Saccharomyces cerevisiae S288C: one gene and its partner. The protein of the gene in region 2 binds, or shares a complex with, the protein of the main gene of each other region. Each region holds a gene or a part of one and is shown on either strand. Other genes may lie near its edges. A codon is read from its position in the direction of its gene.

Region 1 (3,702 bases), on a different chromosome or scaffold from region 2:
GTTTGAAATTACCGATGAGAATAAATTGGAGGCAAGAAAAGTTTTTGAAGAGGCGATAGTTTTTTTCAAGGAGAAGGATGATAAACAAGGGAGACTGTCTATTTTGGAAGCGCTAAAAGACTATGAAGAAACTTACGGTACTGAACTCGATCAAGAAACCGTCAAGAAAAGATTCCCTAAAGTAATCAAAAAAGTGAGGTTACAGAACGGTGTGGAAGAAGAATTCGTGGATTACATTTTTCCTGATGATATCGATGATGACAAGCCAAAACCATCAAAGTTCTTGGAACTAGCCAAAAAATGGAAACAGGAACAGGCACTTTGAATAAAGGTAAGGGTATCGTGAAATAATATTTTTGTCATTGTAGTTCAGGCCGTAGAAACTAAACAGTAGTAGAATAAGCTAGTAAGTAAATTAAATATCAAAAGTTAATAATAACCAGGAAGGCAAAAAACCAACAAAAAAAGGAACTATGCAAAATAGAGACTACATACCTTCAACACAAATAAAAAAAAATGCAGATATTGTATAATGGGAGTGTATTATAATCCGGGAGGCCCTTGCAGTCCCGGAGGTGTAGGTTTGTTAATGTCATTGCCCATGTTATTAGAAAACCCTGGAGGACCGCTTAGGCCAGGAGGAGGTGCAATTGAGGATTGTACCGTAGTCATACCGGGAGGTGGAGGTAGCGAAAATTTCGGTTGTTCCGACTCTGGAGGGCTTTGTAATGGGGGAGGGGCGATTCCTGGAACTCCGGAACTAAAGCTACTTGATGTTAGGCCGGGAGGGGGTGTAGGCGTCACGTTTTGAGCTTGCCTCGAAATATGTGACGCAGGAGGTGAAGGTGATGGTGCATAACGTGAAGAAGCCGGAAATTTTAAAGGAGGTTCCGTCGAGTTATTGTCATAACGAGATCTTTTTGGTGCTTGAATTGGATGAGTATTGCTATTATAGTGTACGTCATTGCTCTGTATTGGCGCAGAATTATTTACCGTGGCGTTTCTGTCAAAACGGCTCATTCTTTGAGACGATGAGTTACAGTCTCTACTGAAATGTCCAGTTTGTCCACATATTTTGCAAACAATGCCCTGTATATTTGGGATTTTTCTGTTTGGACAATCGTACCTTTTATGATCTTTTAAACCACAGATTGGACAGGGCCTGTTATCTTCTCTTAAAGTACCATTAAGTTCCGCCAATTCTCTCAGTTGTCCTCGTTTCAAGTCATTCTGGCCTTCCGGAGATGTCACCGCTTTGATAACAATGTTTTGACAAACTTTTATACCTTTTTGGATCTTGTCTTCCGAGTCTGCGATAATTAAACAGTGCAAGGGGTCCTCAAAGTTCATGGCGCCTGGAGGTAAGTCACTTGCATTCTTACCTTCTTTGACTGAACCTCTTCCTCTAATTGCAATCTTACAATTCGAATCTTCTTGCAGCTTTCTTAACGTACGTCCACGAGGACCTAATAATAAACCAACAAAATTGACATCAGGATACTGATCCACCGGGATATAATACTTGTCCTGAAATTTGGTAGGTCTCTTGTAATCATCCGGAGGAACGAAGTAAGGGATGGTCTTTAGGGCTATCTCAACAAGTTTAATACGTTCATCCTCTAGTTTCTTTCTATACCTCTGCTCACGGGTATTCGTTCTTTTACCTTGGGCATCATAAACTGGTGGCGGAGAAGGTGACCTATTTTTCCTGGAGGGGGGCACAAAATCGTTCGTACGCAGTTTGATGGTAATTTCTTGAATCCTAAACATGACTTGATAGGAGTATATTTGTTCCCTAGTTAGGGCCCCACTAATTTTTGATGGAAGAGAATTGAATCGATGGACATCGCTTTCTACCGTGTTCTTTCTCCATAACGAAAGGTTGACGTTTGGAGGAACCTTTGCTTTTTTTTCTTCCATACTGCTTCCTTTTCTATTTTCAAAGTATCTAGAGTTAATCCTTCTAAAACTCATCAACAATTTCCTTTTATTGTGGGATAGAATAGCACTTGTAGCAAATTAGGGAAAAAATTCTGCTTTGAAAATTTCCGCTTGGTGAAATTCAGCAGAAAAAGAAAGAAATCAATAATGCTAATATCGTTAAAAGTGAGTTAGAATGTTATATACAGATAATAGCGGTGCGAGATACACAGCAATTTATGTCACATACTGTTTTGTGGGCAGTCCACGAACGTAAATTGAACCTTTTATTTGTGCTGTATACAAGAAGGCTAGATTTTTGCTAACATATCCGTAACCAATTTTTTGACAGTATCAAAAAGTTCGGAAGGCGTACCATCGATAATAGTTTCTGCATCATTGATTTTGCGGACTGCTACTTTTTCATTTATGACAAGTGTACCTTCCCCTTTAAATTCTGCAATGTAGTTTTTCTCTGTGAGAAGTTTCTTTAATTGTGCTAACCTAACGTCACCGATTGACAACGCACCTGTTTTATGGCTCCTAGATGAACCGTGTAATGGTTTCAAGACTAGTTTACTCCTTGACGCTGTTTTTTGATGATTGTTCACTTGCGGTAGGCTCTCCTTAACCAGCCTGCCAACGACAGTGGCAACTGTATAACTATCACTGATACGTTGCCATTTCAAAAGGTTATCGAGGTTGGAGTCAATGGAGATATCCAGGGTCTTTATTGTTGTACTGAATTCCACTATCTTATTTAATGGCATGTTGACCACTTCAATATTTTTCTTGATAAGTTTTGCCGTAATTTCTTCATTTTGAATCTGTTTGGGGGCGGAAAGAACTATTTTTCTAGATTTTAGCGATGGCCATATAATAGATGCAGACCTTTGATCAACTAAACTCTGTAAATTTAGGATTACTACGGAGCATTTCAATTGGACATTTACAGTTGAGATTGTTCTTTTGGAGAGCGTTTTGTCTATCTTTAAATAGTCAAGGTTATCAAAATTTTCTGCTTCTCCGGTTCCAGAAAATCCCGAGTAACGAGAAGCACGGTGTTTGCTCCTTTTGCTAATTGGATCACTCATATTATAACCATCTTCTTCTTCATTTTTGTTATCTTCTTCGTTTACAGGGCTCGTGGTTTTAGCACCGTCTTTGAGAGGTCTTTTCCTGCTATTTTGATTAACATTGTCAGAATCATCAGGTAAAAACATCGTAAAATCTACAACAGTACCATAATCATCTTTCTTGATTTTAGCGGGGTTAAATGGGAACATTTTATGTTTTGAAGCGGCACTTGGTTGAATTATAATGTCTACAGGAACTTCCGTATTTTTTTTCGCTGCTGATTTCTCAGAGTTATCCTTGAGTAAATTCAACAAATTGTCGTTTTCTTCCTCTTCATCATCATCTTCGTCACCCCCCATAATATGATCAATCGGTGGTACTCCATTGACGTTTTCCACTAAAATGTCTTGATTTCTCATTGCCCTCTCTCCGTTGGTATCATCTATGATTGCGTTGCCGTTAGCCAGTTTCTTAGACTCTCTTTTCACCAGTAGAATTTTCTTATTTCTGTCCCTTTTCTTTTCTTTAAGCTGTACTTTAAACGCCTCTGTTTCCTCTTTACTCAAGGGTTCTTCTTTTATGGTGTCTATTGAAATGTAATTATCGCAGAGGAATGATTTACCATCTTCAGGAAATGTTTTCCAATTTCTTTCATCTTGTTCAACAATTTCTAGTATCTTGTCTAAAGACGACGCACATTCAAAG
Region 2 (4,563 bases):
CATGATCTGTATTTCCAAATAAAGGAAATGAGTGAAAATGAAAAAATTCACGAGAAGGTGTTGAAGGCCGCTTTATTGAACAGAGGAGCAGAATCTGTTAGACGATCATTAAAGTTAAAAGAGTTGGCTCCTCAGATAAACCTTCTATATAAAAATGGCTCTATTGGGGAGGATTACTGGAAGAGATTTGAAACTGAAGTTAAATTAATTGAATTGGAATTTAAAGATACTTTACAAGAAGCTGAAAGATTGCAACCGGGCTGGGTTCAATTGTTCGTTATGGTTTGTAAAGAAATTTGCTTTAATCAAGCTCTCTCTAGACGTTATCAATCAATCTTGAAACGGAAAGAAGTGTGTATTAAAGAGTGGGAGCTGAAAATAAATAATGATGGAAGATTAGTCAATTAGTGCCTACTGTGTGCAAAGATATGTATTCGCTCGTTCAGTGTTTTTTTAAAAATATGTATAGAATTTGTCATTATCTGCGTTAAAAAATAGTTATAAAGTATATACAATAACAATAAATGATAAAGAAATATGCAGTGAAAAGAAAAAATTATGAAGCTTTTCCTTTCAGTGTTTTCTACCCTTCTTCTTGCTCACTACTTGGAATTCCCAGCCGTCGTCATCATTGCCTGATAGAGCTAGCGCTTCATTCCAACTTAGTGGATCATCACCTTGTTTTTCGCACGCAACACGTCTTTTAATAAATTCAGTGGCAAATCTTCTACCATCCATAACGTCACTATTGGCATAAATTGTTTCTTGAATCAATTCTTTAGATTCTGGCCCCGTAGGTAAACTCAATAATAGTTCTAAGACATTGTTATTGGTTATTCCAGAATTTAATTTCATCTGTGATTTACACCATTTGATAAATTCTTGCCGGGGAGAAACATTGTTCATGCTAGCAAAGGTAGTGGTAGTAGAAGTTGTGCTAGTTTTTGCCGTTAATGAAGAATTTAAACTGGTATTGGTTTTTGAATATGGGGAGACAACGGTTCCTATAGGTGCTTTCCCTTTAGAAGTCACCGTAGTCCAAGAAGATGTGGTAGTAGATGCAGAGGATGTGGACTTTACTTGTTTGGAAGAACTCTGAACCTTTTCCCATAGTTTTTTCTGCTCTTCTATGAAATTTGGATCTTCCAACTCCTTTAACGGAGACGACTCTTTCATCCCTTTTGGGCTTTTTTGAAACTGAGATTTAATATCAATAGTTTGATTCGATGGTAGGCTGGACTTGTTAGCCCAGTTAAGCACGGATTTTAGTTCCTCCTTTTGCTTTTCTTCTTTGCTGTTCCTCTGTTGTAGACCTAAGGGTTCTCCTTTCTTCTTTCCAGTGCTACTTACACCATTTTTAATTGAAGTTTCGATTGCATTGTTAACTTTGACTTTTGAGGCCCATGGTGCCGGATTCGCGCTTGAGGAATTTAATGAAGGCAAATCTTTTGATGTCTTAAAGCCTTCTGTTTGTGTTTGTGTGTCCTTTTTTGTCTTTTCTGATTTTTTTTGCTTTTCTGCTTCCAAAGCTTCTTTTTCCTTTTGTTCCTTTTGTTCCTTTTGTTTCTTCAATAAATCATCCTCTTTTTGCTTTTGTTTCTTCGATAAGCGAGCTTCTTCCTTCCTTTTGAGTTCTCTGTTCCGTTTCTCTTGTTCATCCAATAACGCTTTTGCTACAGATTCGGATTTTTCCTTCTTCCCTTTTTCCAGCATAGTGGTCGATTTGTATTCTTGCTTGTGAGATTCATCTGTTTGACTAATGGTGGTTGCTGAGGCTAATTTAATATCGACTCCCTTGGAGGTGGTACCTCCATCCATATCCCAGATATTGTCATGTGTCAATGGCTTGAAAATATCGTTTTCAGTAGCTTTAATAGTGCCAGTAGCGGCAACACCGCTTGCGTAAGGAGCTAGATTCAAGTTGATAGAATCAGAGCTGGTTGTTTGAACGTGAAGTTTGTCAAAAGTAGTGAATGGATCCGTATCATACTTCTCGAGTTTAGTCATTAACTCACCAAGTGTGATGAAAATATCGTTTATTCCTAGCGTTTCTGGAGTGCTTCCCAATCTTGAAATCTGAAGGGTTGAAGCAAAATAGCCACCTATGTACCATTGTGACATCATTTGGGTAGTAAATGGACCATGAATCTGTCCCTGCGTGTCTATGTACCTCCAACTGGATTCAACTGAAACTGGTGCTGGGAGTTGTGACATTCCGTTCATGCTCATATTAGGAGGAATATCAGAGGACGGAAACAAATTGACATGAGATTGGGCAGCAGTTGGTGTACTTAATGGAGTAATATCTACCGCCAATGAATGTGTACTCAGATTCACTCCAAGATTAGCAGCATAACTAAAGGAGGAGGAGGACTCGTTTCTTTGCAATAGTGGATGCTGCTGAACAGGCGTACTAACCCGTGATTCAGGATGGTCGCCGTGCCAAAAAGAGGAACTCATTACTCCCGAACTTTGAGGAATAAAAGGCTCTTTCATAGAAGAAAATGGTGACGCAGCACGCTGTATACCAATAGAATCGATTAAGGAAGACGTCCTACTGAGTGGATGTCGACCTCCTAAAAGAGGTGTATTGGATCTAAACGTCGATCCAGGGACTGTATTCACGCTTGCAGCAACAGCACCGTTTGTATTGTTATTAACGCTCGCAGGGGAGGAATCCAGGATAGTAGAAACACCGTGTGTGTTATTGTTTTCTGTATCGACTGAATCTAGTTTTAAGTCCTTAAACTGTTCATCAAAGGAACCGAATAATCTTTGCGAGTCTGGTGCTATCATTATTGATGTGGGCTGAGAAGTTGAGTATATAGGGGAGGAGGAAGGAAGGTAAAAGCTCAAGGAGTACGAATGGAAATGATGAACTCGAAGAGACCACTGAACTGCGTGTGTGGGTATTTGTAGTATTGTGAAAAGTTCCAAAAGGCCCATCAAATCAAATCAACCTATAAGTGGAAATATGAAAAATTTTTTTTTTTTTCAGTGCGACTGAAAAAAAGGCATAGGGTAATTGCGGACTATATAGGACACTAAAAATATAGTGTGGCACAACTATGTAGTATAAGTATTACGGCACTAATCTAATCTTTTCAATGGTTTACGTGACAGATGTATAAAGAAATTGAGAGCAATTTTTAAATGCCTAATTGTTTTTCGATTTTGCTGTGGACGTCATCACCTACCATGGTGCTGGCTTGTAGGCCAGTACCAGGGTAGACGTCCTCCCAATCGATGCTGCACTCTTTGTTCAGTAGTATGTCACGGTGTATACTACCGTTTGTTGAAAGGGGGTTGAAGTCGGTACGATTGACGATTTCCATTTCCATCGTCCTTTTCATTGGTTCGGCAATGCCAAATATTTGTCGATACTGTTCCATTTGTCTTTGGCGCTGTGTGGTTTCCCAGTTCTTCAATGTTGATTCTAATGGATGTCTGTCATTCAATTGTGTGGAAAGAGGTACTGCACCGCCTTCTTGCTGGCGTAATGTGTCTGGCAAGGAGGGCACTGCAGATGAAAGAACACTTTTGTCTTGATCTGTAGAGACTTGAGATTTAAAGGTATCTTGTGGGACGATATTCATAGTTGGTATGCAGGCTGTTTCTGGTCTTGTCTATTTAATACTCATTCCCTCTCCAGTGAGCAGGAAACTACATAATATACTTTAATAACCTCAGGTAGGATAAAATTGCCACTGCATGGTTACCCGAGGAGTGAAAAAAGCAAGACCATAAGAAATGCTTGTGCATCACTGGCGGTAGATATTGGAAAGTTTGAGCGTAGGCTCATTCATTTGCAAGTGGCCATTATATGCTAACATGTTCCAGTTTGTTACTCCTGTGGGAACACAGAATGGATTGAAAGCTACTTGTGCGAAAATATCTCCTGATGGGCAGTTTCTTGCTATAACACAAGGACTTAACATCCTGATATACGACATTAACAGACGAACTGTATCACAAACACTAGTCACATCACATGCCAGGCCTTTCTCAGAGTTATGCTGGTCTCCAGATGGACAGTGCATAGCTACTGCATCGGATGATTTTTCTGTGGAAATCATTCATTTATCTTATGGGCTGCTGCACACTTTTATCGGCCATACAGCGCCAGTGATATCTCTGACATTCAATAGAAAGGGGAACTTGCTGTTTACATCCTCAATGGACGAAAGTATCAAAATATGGGACACACTGAACGGGTCTTTGATGAAAACAATATCTGCACACTCAGAAGCAGTTGTGTCGGTGGACGTACCCATGAATGATTCATCCATTCTGAGTTCAGGTTCATATGACGGGCTCATACGGATCTTTGATGCAGAGACGGGCCATTGTTTGAAGACATTGACCTATGACAAGGATTGGAAAAGAGAAAATGGTGTGGTACCCATCTCCCAAGTTAAGTTTTCTGAGAATGCAAGATATCTCCTGGTGAAATCGCTGGACGGTGTAGTGAAAATATGGGATTGCATCGGGGGTTGTGTAGTTCGTACTTTCCAGGTTCAGCCTCTTGAAAAGGGCGTACTGCATCATTCCTGCGGTATGGAC

Evidence for each region.
Region 1: the proteins of SMY2 (region 2) and MSL5 are in contact, whole or in part, in a crystal structure (PDB 3FMA), measured with the Saccharomyces cerevisiae proteins. Residues at the interface, in NP_009731.4 of Saccharomyces cerevisiae: Tyr210 (codon at 2,169), Asp212 (codon at 2,163), His218 (codon at 2,145), Phe221 (codon at 2,136), Trp229 (codon at 2,112), Tyr234 (codon at 2,097), Phe235 (codon at 2,094), Leu239 (codon at 2,082); in NP_013217.1 of Saccharomyces cerevisiae: Ala443 (codon at 648), Pro444 (codon at 645), Pro445 (codon at 642), Pro446 (codon at 639), Gly447 (codon at 636), Leu448 (codon at 633).

The regions. Positions count from the first base shown.
Region 1 is NC_001144.5:379,094-382,795, reverse strand, and holds MSL5 (mRNA splicing protein MSL5), read right to left. Parts: upstream 1,975-3,702; coding exon 544-1,974; downstream 1-543. Other genes in the region: CLF1 (Clf1p), read left to right, coding at 1-325; cleavage polyadenylation factor subunit CFT2, read right to left, coding at 2,232-3,702.
Region 2 is NC_001134.8:578,577-583,139, forward strand, and holds SMY2 (Smy2p), read right to left. Parts: upstream 2,797-4,563; coding exon 574-2,796; downstream 1-573. Other genes in the region: Sec63 complex subunit SEC66, read left to right, coding at 1-408; UMP1 (Ump1p), read right to left, coding at 3,150-3,596; SWD3 (Swd3p), read left to right, coding at 3,832-4,563. UniProt on the Saccharomyces cerevisiae protein: Suppressor of the MYO2 gene.